3 linked regions of the Arabidopsis thaliana genome follow. The protein of the gene in region 1 interacts with the protein of each later gene in a pairwise test. Each region holds a gene or a part of one and is shown in the gene's direction. Other genes may lie near its edges.

Region 1 (4,229 bases):
TCGAGAGGAAGAAGAAGAGATTATAGAATAGGTATATGTTTTGTGTTCGTTGAGGGCTTGGAGAGCAAGGTTATATATAAAGAGGTAATGAAAAAGGGAGATGCAAAAGTGAATAAAGGGAAGGTCCCCATCCCAAAATAACATATAATGTTAAAAAAATTCAAAATTTAATTAATATTTACAATTCATCAATTTCTGTCCGACGCATATATAATATTGTTCGAAGTGTTTTTTTTATATTGATAGATAATTAAAATGCTAACAAATAACATGATCACGTGTAGATTCTGGTACTTAACCGGAATAATTAATCAAAAATTGCCGCCCTAAATGTAAACCGTGTTTCTTCATCAATTATATTATCCCATGCTTCTCCGAGAGTGGTCGGTCTGGAATATATGTGCACTTGTCAGATTTCTATTGGTTGCATGGGAGATCGAATCTTGGGTTAACCCAAAACTGTTGCAATCTCTCTTTCTTTTTTTTCTTTTTTTTTTTTGTTATTTGGCGGCACTTCTAACTGAAATAACTGTCTCTTTTGTACCCACTTGCATGCGAATCCTTTGTTTCCCTTCACATTGCCATCCGATCTACGTACATAGATCTTTTTTAAAAATAGATATCTTGATGTTGTAAATTTATACTAGTAGTGTTTTACATTTTATTTTGTCATTTATATATGTCTATTTCTGTTTCTCATATTCATATTGTATATCGTATATCGAATAGAAAGATGAACTCCATTTTATGGTCGTTCCATCAGTTAATGCTCATATATTTTCTAGTGTATTAGGCTGTTAATGTAAGGTTGTGTGATTCGGGAAAAAAAATTGAAATTTCGGAGATTTTGAAACAAAAATTAAAAAATTGAGTGGCCAGAAATCCTTTCCTCTCCATATTTAGTGTCGTCATATAAAATACCAAAACTTTTGTTCCAATATAGAAAAACTATTGACCGAAAGTCCAATTACGTACTCCAAAGACTTATGGATATAAGAAATTATAGTTTGAGTATTTATCATTTTGGTCGAAACTCGAAAGCTATATATAATCATATGAACATACAGTCACATTTGGTGTAGGCGACTATAAAACTTATCTAAAGTTGATTTATCAAAAAAAAACTTATCTAAAATTTGGAAAAATGAAATCGATCAGATATATATATATATATATATATATATATATAAAATTTGAACAAGCATATGGTTTTGAGATGGTTATATGTATGATCATGTGGGATCCAGCAGTTGTGAACATGTGAATAAATCCTTGGAAGCTATTGATGGGCCAACCCAAGAGAATCACTTCTCAGCCTTTCTCATCATCGTCATAACCTTTTTCTCTCATTATTCCAAATTCCATATTCTCTTTCTTCTTTGTATCACCATATATATACACATATATATATATCTTTAATATATCTACAATGTGTACATAGTACATACCCTTCTTGAGACATTTCCCTCACATGAATCCATCTTTTGGTTCTTTACTTAATTCTTTTTAACGTTCACACACATTCTATAAACTAATAACATATTAGTCCTATGATTAGCCCCACCATTAGATTGGGTCATTGCCTCATTGGCAAAAATATATAAATTTGGTTAGAATGAGAAAGTAATAAATTAAAAGTTAATATGTAAAAATCGGTTGAAACTATTATGAAATTTCGGAGTCTACAAGATCCCCAAGACTTAAGACCGTGAAGAAAAATCACGAAATTACATGTAACTTTAGCTATAAAAAAAGAAGTCTAAATGATTATAATGATTTTTTCTCCATTTATTATATGATGAAAACGCGGATCTACAGAATTTAATGTCATTCCAAGATGAAATCGTACGTATGAAAATACACATAAGGAAAGTGTCATTGATTTGTTGAACGATGTGGGCTAAATGGGCTTTCCCGTGGGCCGAGTAACTTATGATCAATCTACAAGCGGTCACGTGAATAAATGGGCTTGACCGTGGGCCGAGGAACTTATGATTAATCTAAAAGCGGTCACGTGATTCCCAGCGGTGAGCGCACGTTAGAATAGTTCCCAGTTCCATAATGAGGCTAAAGTGAGCCGAACCATGTCTGAGAGTCAGAGAGATGAGATCATAAATTAATGGAGATCTTACAAATATGGAAAATTTTAAATACAAAAAATCGAACCAAAGAAGAAGAAGCCTACGGTTGTTCTGTTCCTTTCAATCTCACCAAATTTTCATCTTCACCTTCAATTTTGATAGATTCTCTTCACCGAACCAAATCCGTAACCCTAGCTTCTTCTTAAATTATAGAGAAAAAGAGTTAATTCGAATCTGGATGAAATTGGTTTTGTCTAGATGGAAATCTAGATGTGTCTGATTCCGAAATCTGAGTCTGAGAGATGCTAGGAGCGATTCATTTGGGAGTATTAGCAGCTTGTTTCGTCCTCTTCGTTCCCATGGCAATGGCTGGTTGGCATCTGAGCAGGAACAAGATGCTCTTCTTTAGTGGCGCTTTGTTTATTTCTCTCGCGGTTTGTGTTCATCTCACGCCTTATTTCCCTTCCGTTTCCGACATCGTTGCCTCTGTTTCCTCTGTTGTTGTCTACGATCATCGTATCTCTTGTATCAACGAGGTTAATCAGATTGTCTGGGATGTTAAACCGGTACCGAATCCGGAGTCTGTTCGTAGGAACAATGGCTCAACAAAGCTTGATTATTTCGTGAAGAACTGGGATTGGATGAAATCGAGGAAAGTTTTGAGTTGTGAGTTTCAGAAATTGGATAAGTTCGATGTTTCGGATTTGTTGAATGGATCGTGGGTTGTTGTTGCTGGTGATTCTCAGGCGAGATTCGTGGCTTTGTCTTTGTTGAATCTTGTTTTGGGTTCGGATTCCAAGGCTATGGATTCGGTTAGAGGGGATTTGTTTAGGAGACATAGTGATTACAGCATTGTGGTTAAGGAGATTGGGATGAAGCTTGATTTTGTTTGGGCTCCTTATGAGAAAGATTTGGATGATCTTGTGGTATCTTATAAGAAGATGAAAAAGTATCCTGATGTTGTGATCATGGGAACTGGGTTATGGCATATGCTTCATGTGAACAATGCTTCAGATTTTGGTTTTAGGTTGAGGCAATTGAGTAGTCATGTGGAGTCTCTAGTGCCCCTTACGCCAAAGGAGCAAGAAGGAGGTGGGTCGGTCTCCGGTAGATCTGTGCATCTGTTCTGGATTGGGATGCCGGTTTTGATCAACGGGATGTTGAATACGGATGAGAAGAAGGAGAAGATGAGTGATACGGTGTGGCATGAGTATGATAGATCACTCGGGGAGAGTAAGATCTTACGTCAAATGGGTGGTCCTCTTATCTTGCTTGATATCCAGTCGTTTACCTGGAACTGTGGACCGCAATGTACACTTGACGGGATGCATTATGACTCTGCGGTCTATGATGCCGCTGTCCATGTCATGCTCAATGCGTTGCTTATTGAATCTCATCAATCTTTATGAGTTCTTGACACGTTTTTTTTTTGTTTTTTTTCCTTTTATTTTGTTTGGGGTTCTCTTGTAGAGTTTTAAGAGAAGTGGGATGTTCATAGGAATTTTACAACACACGGTGATCCTTTTGGCCTGAGTGATCTTCACATTGGAGAAGTAAGTGAACTTACATTCATGGCTATAATAGGTTTAATATCTTTTGACTTTGAGAAGTTATAACCTTTAGCTATTCTGATTCTTGTTATATCACAGTACCCTTTTGGATTCTTTTTACGATAAGACTCAGTACTCATCATTAGCTTTAAGCACTTGAAGGAAGCTTTCGCTCCTTAGTAATGTAAACAAATAGATACAATAGTGATGTTTGTGTGATCACTGTTCTTAGTACATTGGTGAGTTTTTGTACCTATGCGTGGGAGAGAGAGAACTATGAAATGCAAAAGTCTGACCCAAGTTCTTTCCTTTTCAACCCTAAAGATAACCTTAGACCAAGATCGATATACTTGCCATCAAAAAATTCTGACCCGGAAAAAAAGAATCATGGGATTGTATCTCAATGTGTCCGTCTCTGTCTCACGGAGTCTCGAATTGTTTCCCTTCGAAGGTCTGTCCATAATTCCAGTTTTTCGGGGAGACATTGTAAGATGTCACGGTTGACCTGTCACTAGAAGTTACTTCAAATGAGAGAGCTTGGTTCCTGAGATCAGCATTAATATGCCAATTTTGTCCCCAATTACGACCCATAGGTAAC
Region 2 (4,918 bases), about 18 Mb from region 1:
TCATCGAACATTGGTTAGGGAATGATTATGAAGTTGCGGATTTGTTCAACCGGTTATGTCAAGAAGTGGCTTTCGACCCCCAAAATAGTTATTTGTCACAATTGTCGAATAAAGTTGATCGGAATTATAGCCGAAAGTGGAATGTTCTGAAGGCGATCTTAAAACACAAGTACTTCAATAATCCTTGGGCATACTTCTCTTTTTTTGCTGCTCTTGTCCTGCTAGTTCTCACGTTATTTCAGAGTTTCTTTACTGCTTATCCTTATTTTAACCCACCTTCTTGATTTTCATTATTATTCAGTAGTTTCCTTCATTAAACTTGGAATGTTTGTAACTTTTTTTCGAGCATTTTTGTTTATTTTATTTTCTATTGTATTGCAAAAATAAAATCAGAAACTAAAATTAAAATTTTCCAGCATTTTTATTTAATCTTATTTTTGATTGTTCACATGTCTTGAATCTGATCATGACAAGGTGTCTGTGGTAGCATGAAAGTATCGCTGTGACTCGGTAGGTCTAGGGGGGACGATGCCATATATATATTAACAGTTAGCTTCATAGGAGGTGAGACACTGAGACAGGTCAGAACAAATATAGATTACGTCGATAAAACGATATCGTCCCAAGAGACATTTTTGCCGTCGTCACAACCAAACTAGTTTACCATCGATGCTTAAACTTGTAATTGCATTTCTACACTAGTTTAGCACTATATGGTTACCAAATAGTTATATTAAGTTGTACACCTCTTTAAAATTTCTTTTGATTCACCAGTACGTCTCCAGCCAATGATGTGGTATGTTCAGATTTGAATATGTTATCGGAAATTAAGACTACAACAATGTTCCAAAACATTAATGAGAATGACCATTGTCTATTGACGGATATTCCAAAGTTTGACTCACTTTCCAAGATGACGAAAAATCTCCATAACACTCGATGTATTAAGACTAAAGAGTCTAGATAGTCAATTTCACTTTTGTCGAATGTACTACAGTAATTTAAATAAAATCATATAAAGGTTTGATTGGGTGCAATCAAAGAAAGAAAAACAAGAGGAATAAAACAGTAAAAAATGGGAAGTGATCACTAGAGGAAATATTTTCCACATTTCTAACCTAAAGAAAAAGTTTCTTCTCATTTCACTTTTGTGTTTTGGGTTTTCCATGGAATAAGAAGGAAACATTTTTTTACCTTTTTCTTACAGTTGATAAAATTAATGTGAAAACCTTTTCTACTATTCTCTTTTACATCATAGATTAGTCTTCGGCCACACCCTAGAGTTTGGCTAATGAAAATAAGCACAAAAAAAACTGTGACCCGTCAACCAATATAGATTCAAAGTTTGTTGAGCAATCATCATCCATACGAGAAATGGTGAGGTCGTGCCATGTTCCACACACTAGCTGTGTAGTGTACATGTTCCGTTATGCTCTCACTATATTTTTATTTTCTATTTTTCTTATTAATAATTGTTGCTCGAGATATAAGAAAAATACCATAATGCACCAAATACCCCATAGAATATCAATAACAACGATGAAATGTGAATTTCAAGATGTGACACAAAGAGCAAAAAGGAAAAAAGGGAGAAGAAAAAAACCACTAAAGAAGAGATTTTATTTTGTGCTTTTATCGTTTAAAATTGCCCAAATTCGACAAGACAAATAATCTTATCTTGTCCAACGACTCTCATATTCCCCATACGAGCGTTTCTAGTATGGTTGCGCAATGACCTTACCCTTCTTTGATGCGTTAAGGATTCGTACTCAAACCAAAACGAAAGGGTATATCAAAATTCTATTATCTATGGATAATGGTCGGATATATGGTAAATTATAGAACACAAATGCATATTTTCTATTCTATGTTACCCTTTTAAGCCGCACGATTCCAAATTAATTTGTATATTTTAGTAGTTAAAATAATTAGGTAAGATATATAAACTTTTAGTTGTTACTTTTTTCTTCAAAGATATTAATATGTGTGTGTGTGTGTTTATAAATATCTAATTATGGTTGTTGTCATTACAGATCAGTTGGGTCCATAAGTACAATAAGTAACCAATTATATCTTCAAATCATTCACATATACTTCCTTCTCTCTCACTCCCTCATTTTCTTAAAAAAGCTTCAAGCAACAAAAAAAATGGTGGCTGTCTTCTACAAAGACATGTTGAGCTGGTACTTACTCACCCTTAAGATCCGCGAAAAACTCGAAACACAAAACCAAGAATCCGTATTGGTTAATCAAGATCAAAACCTCCCCGGTTTACCCGAAATCACCAGATCCGATCAAGATCAAAACATTCATAACAACCAGCAAACTCAATCCGATCCCGCTATCTACGTAATCAAAGAGAGTCCAAAAGATTCACGAGACGATTGGGTGATCTCGATCACAGACAAGCTCGAACAAGCACATAGAGATGATGACACAACACTCTGGGGTAAGCTCTGTATCTACAGAGTTCCATATTACCTTCAAGAAAACGACAACAAATCGTATTTCCCTCAGACAGTCTCGCTTGGTCCGTACCATCATGGTAAGAAACGGCTCCGGTCTATGGACCGTCACAAATGGCGTGCTGTCAATAGAGTCTTGAAACGTACGAACCAAGGCATTAAAATGTATATCGACGCCATGAGAGAGCTAGAGGAAAAGGCTCGAGCTTGTTACGAAGGTCCCTTAAGTTTGAGTAGTAACGAATTTATCGAAATGCTAGTTCTTGATGGTTGTTTTGTGCTTGAGCTCTTTAGAGGAGCCGTTGAAGGATTCACTGAACTCGGGTAAGCCTGATTTTTTCAATATCTGGTTATTTCCGGTTCTCTCAAATAATTGTTAAACCGGTCACAATAATGTTTTGTGTAGATATGCACGTAACGATCCAGTTTTCGCGATGAGAGGATCGATGCATTCGATTCAACGTGACATGGTAATGCTTGAAAATCAACTTCCTTTATTTGTTCTAAACCGGTTATTAGAGTTACAGCTTGGTACACGGAACCAAACCGGTTTGGTGGCACAATTAGCAATTCGGTTCTTTGATCCACTAATGCCAACGGACGAGCCGTTGACTAAATCTGGCCAGTCAAAACTCGAGAACTCACTGGCAAGAGATAAATCCTTTGACCCATTCGCTGATATGGGTGAACTGCATTGTCTAGATGTTTTCCGTCGTAGTTTGTTACGGTCTAGTCCTAAACCGGAGCCGAGGTTAACAAGAAAGAGATGGTCTCGAAACACGCGTGTGGCGGACAAGCGCCGGCAACAATTGATACATTGTGTGACGGAACTAAAAGAGGCTGGTATAAAATTCAGAAGAAGGAAAACCGACCGGTTTTGGGATATGCAATTCAAAAACGGTTATCTAGAAATACCGAGGCTACTTATCCATGACGGTACGTTCACGTTTTTCACATTTTTCTTCTTTTTAACACATGCCCCATATGTTTACAATTTATTTTTCTTTTGTTTGAGTAAAATGTTACAGTTTTTTTTTCTTATCCATCACCTTTTTAATTCATCAAATCCATATAAATTGATATTTTCTCGTTTGTATTGGTTTATATGGATTGACAAAGAATATATTAGTAGGAATCATGATGTATTGATGTGGTATGTTGCATAAAAATGCTACTTTGGAATATAAGAAATGTCATCAATTGACTAATTCAGAATGATCTAAGCAATGGAAAAGAGTATGTGTTTTCAGATTGGCAAAAAGTTTAGATAATGAAACAAATACATTTTCTCAACAAAACAACTAAATGTTTATAATAAGTAAAGCCATCCTCGTATGTTTTTTTGTAGGTACCAAATCTCTTTTTCTGAATCTTATAGCTTTTGAGCAGTGTCATATCGATTCGAGCAATGATATAACATCCTACATAATCTTCATGGACAATCTAATAGATTCTCACGAAGATGTTAGCTACTTACACTACTGTGGTATCATCGAACATTGGCTAGGGAGCGATTCTGAAGTCGCGGATTTGTTCAACCGTTTATGTCAAGAAGTTGTATTCGACACCGAAGATAGCTATTTATCTAGGTTATCGATTGAGGTTAATCGTTACTACGATCATAAGTGGAATGCTTGGAGGGCTACGTTGAAACATAAGTACTTCAATAATCCATGGGCAATTGTTTCTTTCTGTGCTGCGGTTATTCTACTAGTCCTCACTTTCTCTCAAAGTTTTTACGCTGTTTACGCTTATTATAAGCCACCTTCTTAACCTTATAACTTGTTTTTCAAAGCATTTTTTTGTGTGTTATATTATACATATGTACTAGATTTTAACTTGTGGTATACCGCGGGACGATTTATTTTTAAAAGTAATATATATTAAAACTTGTAAATTTTATTAAAATAATAAATTAAAGATTTAATCCATATTGAAATTAAATTAAATTAATTAAAATTTAGATATCAAATCTTATATGTTGATTTTGATTGGCTATTATTTTTGAAAATTAATAATGTATTTCGTTTTTTAATTAATTTAATTAATTAAATTAGTATTTGACTTTTTAATCCTTAAATACATAAATTAATTTACTCTTTAAAATTTTATTTCTAATGGCATCCCTATGTAATTACTTACAAAAATTAAGATTACATTTAAAATGTATTTCCCAAATTATATAGTAGGATATGTAGATCGTTTGTGATTACATTGACACGTCACGCACTTACGCCCACTGGATTACCAAAACTGGGCCTTTTCGATATCTATAAGGCCCAGACCAACTAGGATTCAACATAATGTGACCATATAGGCCCAATGAACGAAACACAAAATTCTGACCGGCAAGAGCGGGGGATGATAAAACGGGAATTGATCGTTAATCTCCGCACGTTCATCGGAAATTTCGTACGCTGCTGCTCTGAATCAGAATCAGCTCCAATCTTCTT
Region 3 (7,301 bases), on another chromosome or scaffold:
CATCAAATGCTCTTGCCTTTTCTTGTGTCGGTGGCTTTTAGGATTTCCCATAATAGTTGGTATACTTTGTTTGTTATATAAAAATAATTGGAATACCTCATTATACTGGGAAAGCTCTCAGTCGACCTTTGCCTTTTCTTATAATTTTGTGTCTCATGATTTGGTTGCTGAATTTGTATTAGGGGGGTAAAATACGTGCCAAACTTGGTGCAGAATTAAGTGGTATCAAGGATATAATAATTTCTGAGGGGACTGCCGGAGAGGGAGGAAAATTGGCAGCGCAACGTGGCATGCGTAGGTATATTGGGTGGCTCCTTGACCCATTTGGTTGCAGCACATTTAGTTTTTCTTTCAACTTTCTCTAACTATTTCTGCCTTTCTATCAGATCTTTATTCTGTTTGTGTCCTGCTGGTGACACACCATCTTCAGCGAGGTTGTTTGATGCCATTGTCAGTGGCTGTATACCTGTTATAGTCAGTGACGAGTTGGAATTTCCTTTTGAAGGAATACTTGATTACAAGAAGGTATGCTAGAAAACGTATTACATTGGTGCTCTGAATTATAACCATTTTTTGTCTGAATTAGTTTAGATATGAAGCAAAGTTTGTATGACTGTTCGCTCTCTTTTCTTTTGCTTTTGTTTACCTTTCAGGTTGCTGTGCTTGTTTCTTCCAGTGATGCAATACAGCCAGGGTGGCTTGTAAACCATCTGAGAAGTCTTACGCCCTTCCAAGTCAAGGGGTTGCAGAATAATCTTGCTCAAGTAAGTACTTAGTTTTCCTTATCACTAACTTTGATGTTACAAAATGCATAGTTCGCCTTACACGAAAGGGCATAGCAACCTTACTTGGGCAGTGGATCTTTATATATATTAAGTAATATGGTTGTTTTAAACTTTTCCAGTACTCTCGCCATTTCCTATATTCGAGCCCTGCTCAGCCATTAGGTCCAGAGGACTTGACATGGAGAATGGTATGTACCTACAAAACTTACATACCTTTCTATAACTAAGATGGAAAAGAAATCAAAAGCTTAATAATATCTGACAGAATGTACATGTGGTAACTTAATTTTGATATTGTGAAAAAAAACAGAGTATAAAAACTTCACCTTTTGTGTTGTACAATGGCAAGGTCTCTTCCTTAATTATCCTGATTGTTCAGCACCATGTGTGTTCGGCTTATCCATTAATCGTCTAATTAAGTATTTGCCTTGATCTTTGATCAGTCAGTGAGAAGAACTTACTGCAATGTCGAAATCTAAGATTCAGAAAATCTTGATGTGTTTGTTGCGTTGACAGATAGCCGGAAAGCTGGTGAATATCAAGCTTCACACGAGGAGGTCACAGCGGGTCGTGAAAGGATCTAGGAGTATTTGCAGATGCGATTGCTGGAGATCCAACTCTACAGCCTCCAATTCTTTGAGTTCTCTCTTGTCTTAAGACCGATCACTCTGACTTCACATTCCAGTCTTGAATACCCTAGATATATACTGTGGAATGTGTATCCTATTCAATTTTAACATTGTTTGCTATTTTATATAATGTAATTCCTGTTCATCTTCGCAACTTGGCTACTTTTAGCTACGTGGAAATATTATGAAACTAACATTTTATACAATTGTGTATGTCCTCTTCACGTCATTTAAAGGTCTCTCATTGTCTGCTTGTTATTTTATTCCCTTGCGACGTTTTAAGTATTAGCAGATGATATAGACATGGGTGAATTTTTCACCACCAGCCTGTAGAAATTATCTACAAACATTAAAGTTTTTCAAGTTGAGTTAGAAAATATTTTGAGCTACTTTTATTTATGTATTTTGATTCAGATATCTTTGGTGGCACTTTTAATTGTTGACCTCACAAAACTGTTTTTTATTAGTCTCCATCAGAGGAGTTGATCATAGGCACTTCTTCATATACCAGAACACTGGCGGTTCTTTGAGGTAGCAGAAATGGAGGATCGTCATCGTTATCTTTTTTTCATATTTGCCATTATACATTATGTTCAGGCTCAACAAGGTAACCACATTTTATTGCATTGTTGCACACGTCTTTTGTCTGTTTACTGATTAACCTAAAGCAATATTTCGTGGATGAAAGTCAATCATTCATAACTATATTTCCTCTCACCAGGATTCATCAGTTTGGATTGCGGGTTGCCGAGTAACGAGCCTCCATATATTGAACCGGTAACCGGATTAGTATTCTCATCGGATGCGGATCACATCCCTAGTGGAATAAGCGGTAGAATCCAGAAGAATCTGGAAGCAGTACACATAAAGCCGTATTTGTTTCTGAGATACTTTCCAGATGGGCTACGAAATTGCTATACTCTAGATGTCCTTCAGAACCGAAGATACATGATCAAAGCTGTGTTTGTGTATGGAAATTACGATGGTTATAATGATTATCCGAGTTTTGATCTGTATCTAGGTCCTAATAAGTGGGTAAGAGTTGACTTGGAAGGAAAGGTCAATGGCAGTGTTGAAGAGATTATTCACATACCAAGTTCAAACTCTCTGCAGATTTGTCTTGTCAAGACAGGTAATTCTTTGCCGTTCATATCCGCCCTGGAACTGAGGCTTTTGAGAAACGATACTTATGTTGTCCAAGACGTTTCCTTGAAGCATTTATTTCGGAGGTACTATAGACAGTCAGATCGGTTAATCCGGTAAGTGTTGCACTATATCATAATCTGTAATTTGATGTTGATATACAAAATTTCCCTAAACTTAGCAATATATAGATGCATGAAGACAATACAAGAAACCTTCAAATGTCTGACCAACATCAGGAAGTTTCCTATTAATGCTCTTACCAATGAACTTTGACTTATATAATAGACGTATTGAAATTGTTTTTAATGATCGTAATGTCTTTCATAGACCAGTTGTTTGTGAACTGGTGAATTAGTGATGCATGGTTTATCAATCCATGTAGATGTGTTTTCTGATGTCCGCAGGTATCCTGACGATGTCTATGATCGTGTTTGGTCCCCATTCTTCTTACCGGAATGGACGCAGATAACTACCAGTTTAGATGTGAATAACTCTAACAACTACGAGCCACCAAAAGCAGCATTAACATCAGCTGCCACACCTGGAGACAATGGAACGCGATTGACCATTATTTGGACTTTGGATAACCCTGATGAGCAAATTCACCTGTATGTTCACTTTGCCGAGCTTGAACCTGTTGGGGAAAACACTGACGAGGCCTTGAGAACTTTATTTACAAGGACCTTTTACTTTGTGGTGAATGGAAAGATTAGTTATGATGAGAGTATTACTCCTTTAGACTTGGCTGTAAGTACTGTAGAGACTGTGGTGAACAAATGCGATGGCGGTAACTGCAGTTTGCAGCTGGTACGCAGCGAAGCGTCTCCGGGAGTACGTGTACCTCTGGTTAATGCTATGGAGGCATTCACTGCAATCAAGTTTCCACATTCTGAAACAAATCCTGATGATGGTACGTACGTATATATCTCAACTACTTTTACTAAAATTTTGGGATATATGCCTCAAACTATTATATGGAATGCTATTCCATTAGCTCGACCAGTTTTCTGTAGTATCATATTAATTTTCTACAGATGGTAAAGCAAGTTAATGTGAACCAAATTATTGCACTTTATCTAACAGTAGTCCACATACGAGACATGAGTGATGATGATGAGGTTATGTAAATTAGTTCATGCGAGAATTAATCAAGAGGAATCATCATAGTATCAACCACAAGAAATAATTTGTTTTGAACATATTACCTAATTCTTGTTTTTAATATGTTTTAAGTATGGTATATCTTTAACTCTATGACAGTTATATCTATCAAGGTTATCCAAGCTACCTATGAACTGAGCAGAGTCGACTGGCAAGGAGATCCGTGTCTTCCCCAGCAGTTTTTGTGGACTGGCCTAAACTGCAGCTACATGAACATGTCTACGTCACCAAGAATCATTTCCTTGTAAGCACTTAAAAGTGTGATATTGTTGTTATAAATTAGTTACGTTTCTAGATTTCTTACTGCTAAAATGTGTTATGTGACCAGAGACCTGTCCTCACATAAATTAACTGGGAAAATAGTGCCAGATATACAAAATCTGACCCAGCTACAGAAACTGTAAGTATGGCCTCTAATAACTGCGCTGTTTGAGCATCAATAGGTTTTTCAAGTTTAGTATGGTTTTTGTACTTCTATTGACTATATATACCAAGAATTTTGGATGTTTATTTTTAATTTCTAGTATCATTTCCTGCACATGTGGCTGCACATCTGCATTACCAATATAAAATCAGTCGCTGTTTTTTCAACAAACTATTTCTATGTAACCTTGTTTCTGCATCCTCACACATGAATGACTATGATTAGGCAGATTTCAATTTCTTCATTGGATATAGAGTAGTGTGATTTGTTTTTCTTTTCCGTATTTAATAAACATAACTGTAGGGACTTGTCGAATAACAAGTTGACCGGAGGTGTGCCTGAGTTTCTAGCCAACATGAAGTCACTGTTGTTCATGTAAGTCCTCAAACAAGTGAACTTATCTCTTTCTGTTTTCTCTAAATTCTTTGCATTTTCATGAGATAATAGCTTTTTCCATGACAGAAACCTAAGCAATAACAATCTTGTTGGTTCCATTCCTCAAGCGCTTCTTGACCGAAAAAATCTGAAGTTGGAGTAAGATCTTCAAACGTAACATTCTTTCAACTATTACTTGTGCCCTTAGATGATTTCTATTTATTCTGTAGGTTTGAAGGAAATCCAAAGCTTTGCGCCACAGGTCCGTGTAACAGTTCAAGTGGAAATAAAGAAACCACAGTCATAGCACCTGTTGCTGCTGCAATAGCCATTTTTATAGCTGTTTTGGTTCTCATTATTGTTTTCATAAAGAAAAGGCCATCAAGTATAAGAGGTAATGTTAATAAAGAAAATATGTTACATTATAAGAAAACAGGAATAAAAGCTACTAGAAGTTATTTAGCTATATATTTTACTTGATGTTTTTATGCAGCTCTACATCCGTCACGGGCTAATTTATCTCTGGAAAATAAAAAACGAAGGATCACATATTCAGAGATATTGTTGATGACAAATAACTTTGAAAGAGTTATTGGTGAAGGAGGGTTTGGGGTCGTCTATCATGGTTATTTGAATGATAGTGAGCAAGTGGCTGTTAAAGTGCTCTCTCCGTCCTCATCTCAAGGCTATAAAGAATTCAAAGCAGAGGTGATTTTACTACAAACTTTGAACATGGAATTGACTACAAAGGTATTATGGCTTCTCCTTGAGATTCAAATAATCATTGATGAATGGATTTCCTTATGGTTGATAGGTTGAACTTCTCCTTAGAGTTCACCACATAAATTTGGTAAGCCTTGTTGGATATTGTGATGAACAAGCACACTTAGCCCTCATCTACGAGTACATGGCTAATGGAGACTTAAAATCGCATCTTTCAGGTAGACATGAATAATATGGTTTGGTGGTTTTGACAGGTAATTATACAGTAACATCTTATCTTCATTAGACATGTATCTCCTGGTTATTACAGGAAAACATGGGGACTGTGTTTTAAAATGGGAAAACAGATTAAGCATAGCTGTTGAAACCGCACTAGGTTAGTGTTATTTCGTCCATTCCATAACTAATCTGTTTTCAATACTAAAAAGCCTCTCAAGAAGTTGATTTTGTCCAATTTTATCCCCCTTGTAAATTCCCCTCCTACAAACTTATGATGATACGTTAAACATAAATGAAACTTTCAATATAGGATTGGAGTACTTGCATAGTGGATGCAAACCACTAATGGTTCACAGAGATGTCAAAAGCATGAATATACTGTTGGATGAGCACTTCCAAGCTAAACTAGCGGATTTCGGACTGTCTAGATCTTTTTCTGTTGGAGAGGAAAGCCATGTGTCGACTGGTGTTGTAGGCACTCCTGGATACTTAGATCCTGAGTAAGCATCAATATAGAACAGGGTGCATTCCAAATATAATTTCCGAGTGGTTAAAGAAACATGATTTGTTATGTATTGTCTGTGTAGGTATTACAGAACATATCGCTTGACCGAAAAGAGTGATGTCTATAGTTTTGGGATCGTGTTATTGGAGATAATCACAAATCAACCCGTACTTGAGCAAGCTAACGAAAATCGACACATCGCAGAACGTGTAAGGACTATGCTTACAAGAAGTGATATTAGCACCATTGTTGATCCTAACCTCATTGGCGAGTATGATTCTGGTTCTGTGCGGAAAGCTCTTAAACTAGCGATGTCGTGTGTGGATCCATCTCCGGTTGCAAGACCAGACATGTCACATGTTGTTCAGGAGCTTAAACAGTGTATCAAATCTGAAAACCTGAGACTGAGGACAGGATTGAACCAAGTCATAGACTCGAAAAGTTCCTAGGACGACCAAGACTAGAGTTTTGGTTCGGGAATGACTCCAAATGCACGGTGGTGATCTCTGATCTGTGACCAAATGTATTTCTCGTTTTGTGTCTTGCAAACAAAACATAATAAATCAAATTAAGTCAATTGATGTTTTCAAATCCGATCCGCTTGACGTGATCCGCTGATAATATTGGTCTGCGATGGGGTGTGTTGTTGGTTCGTTTTGTGTAATAGCGTGGATTAATATTCACTCATCACATAAATTTTCAAAAATAACAACAAATTAAATACTATATGTCAGATATTTAATATTAATGTTGACAGGGACATTATTACGTGTATAATGAGAATTATTCGTGGTTAGTAGTAGTTACTCCCATAGATATGAAATATTGACATTTTTGATCAATGCTACGTACACACGTAACACGTTATCTCATTATTCCAAAAAGAAACATTTTGTATTCACAGGTGAGAAATACTCCTGCGACCGCGTATTCCCATTCCTTATTTTGAAATTCCCCAAAGTACCCTCATCGTCTCTTTCAGTGTGCTTACACGTTTTTTGATACCCGAGATTAACGCCTCCCTACGACATTCTTTTTTATTTTCCCATATTTTATTCTGCAAAATACCAAAAACAAAATTGCTTTATACTAACATGATATATTAATGACATTAATCTAAACAACGATATATTAATGACATTAATCACAACCATTTCCCCTTTATTATAAGAGGATTTCGTAATCTTACATTTCTTAATGCCATTATATTTTTAACTTGCGACTTCCCGAGAAAATTCAAATTCACTTGAGTTATTTTCAAAACTTGGATTCTACAGTATCTGTTTGCTATAAACACTTGTAAATCACTGAACTGAGATCAAATAAATTAGAGA

What was found.
Region 2: the proteins of AT3G03210 (region 1) and AT3G50120 interact in a protein complementation assay, tested with the Arabidopsis thaliana proteins (one large-scale study listed by BioGRID).
Region 3: the proteins of AT3G03210 (region 1) and AT5G16900 interact in a protein complementation assay, tested with the Arabidopsis thaliana proteins (one large-scale study listed by BioGRID).

What each region holds. Positions count from the first base shown.
Region 1 is NC_003074.8:738,604-742,832, forward strand, and holds AT3G03210 (Pmr5/Cas1p GDSL/SGNH-like acyl-esterase family protein), read left to right. Parts: upstream 1-2,100; 5' UTR 2,101-2,383; coding exon 2,384-3,490; 3' UTR 3,491-3,706; downstream 3,707-4,229. Other genes in the region: EXPA13 (expansin A13), read right to left, coding at 4,052-4,229. UniProt on the Arabidopsis thaliana protein: Component of the plant cell wall polysaccharide acetylation pathway. Does not directly catalyze O-acetylation of xyloglucan but exhibits weak acetylesterase activity in vitro.
Region 2 is NC_003074.8:18,584,477-18,589,394, reverse strand, and holds AT3G50120 (transmembrane protein, putative (DUF247)), read left to right. Parts: upstream 1-2,042; 5' UTR 2,043-2,148; coding exon 2,149-2,789; intron 2,790-2,871; coding exon 2,872-3,401; intron 3,402-3,813; coding exon 3,814-4,238; 3' UTR 4,239-4,395; downstream 4,396-4,918. Other genes in the region: AT3G50130 (transmembrane protein, putative (DUF247)), read left to right, coding at 1-284; AT3G50123 (uncharacterized protein), read right to left, coding at 1,278-1,421.
Region 3 is NC_003076.8:5,553,300-5,560,600, forward strand, and holds AT5G16900 (Leucine-rich repeat protein kinase family protein), read left to right. Parts: upstream 1-1,757; 5' UTR 1,758-1,777; intron 1,778-1,881; 5' UTR 1,882-1,954; coding exon 1,955-2,021; intron 2,022-2,135; coding exon 2,136-2,673; intron 2,674-2,803; exon of another isoform or gene 2,804-2,917; coding exon of another isoform or gene 2,918-2,964; coding exon 2,965-3,470; intron 3,471-3,820; coding exon 3,821-3,965; intron 3,966-4,049; coding exon 4,050-4,121; intron 4,122-4,448; coding exon 4,449-4,520; intron 4,521-4,607; coding exon 4,608-4,679; intron 4,680-4,750; coding exon 4,751-4,914; intron 4,915-5,013; coding exon 5,014-5,228; intron 5,229-5,334; coding exon 5,335-5,461; coding exon of another isoform or gene 5,462-5,494; exon of another isoform or gene 5,495-5,553; coding exon 5,554-5,619; intron 5,620-5,772; coding exon 5,773-5,962; intron 5,963-6,049; coding exon 6,050-6,416; 3' UTR 6,417-6,641; downstream 6,642-7,301. Other genes in the region: AT5G16890 (Exostosin family protein), read left to right, coding at 183-298, 387-525, 654-764, 905-973, 1,302-1,442.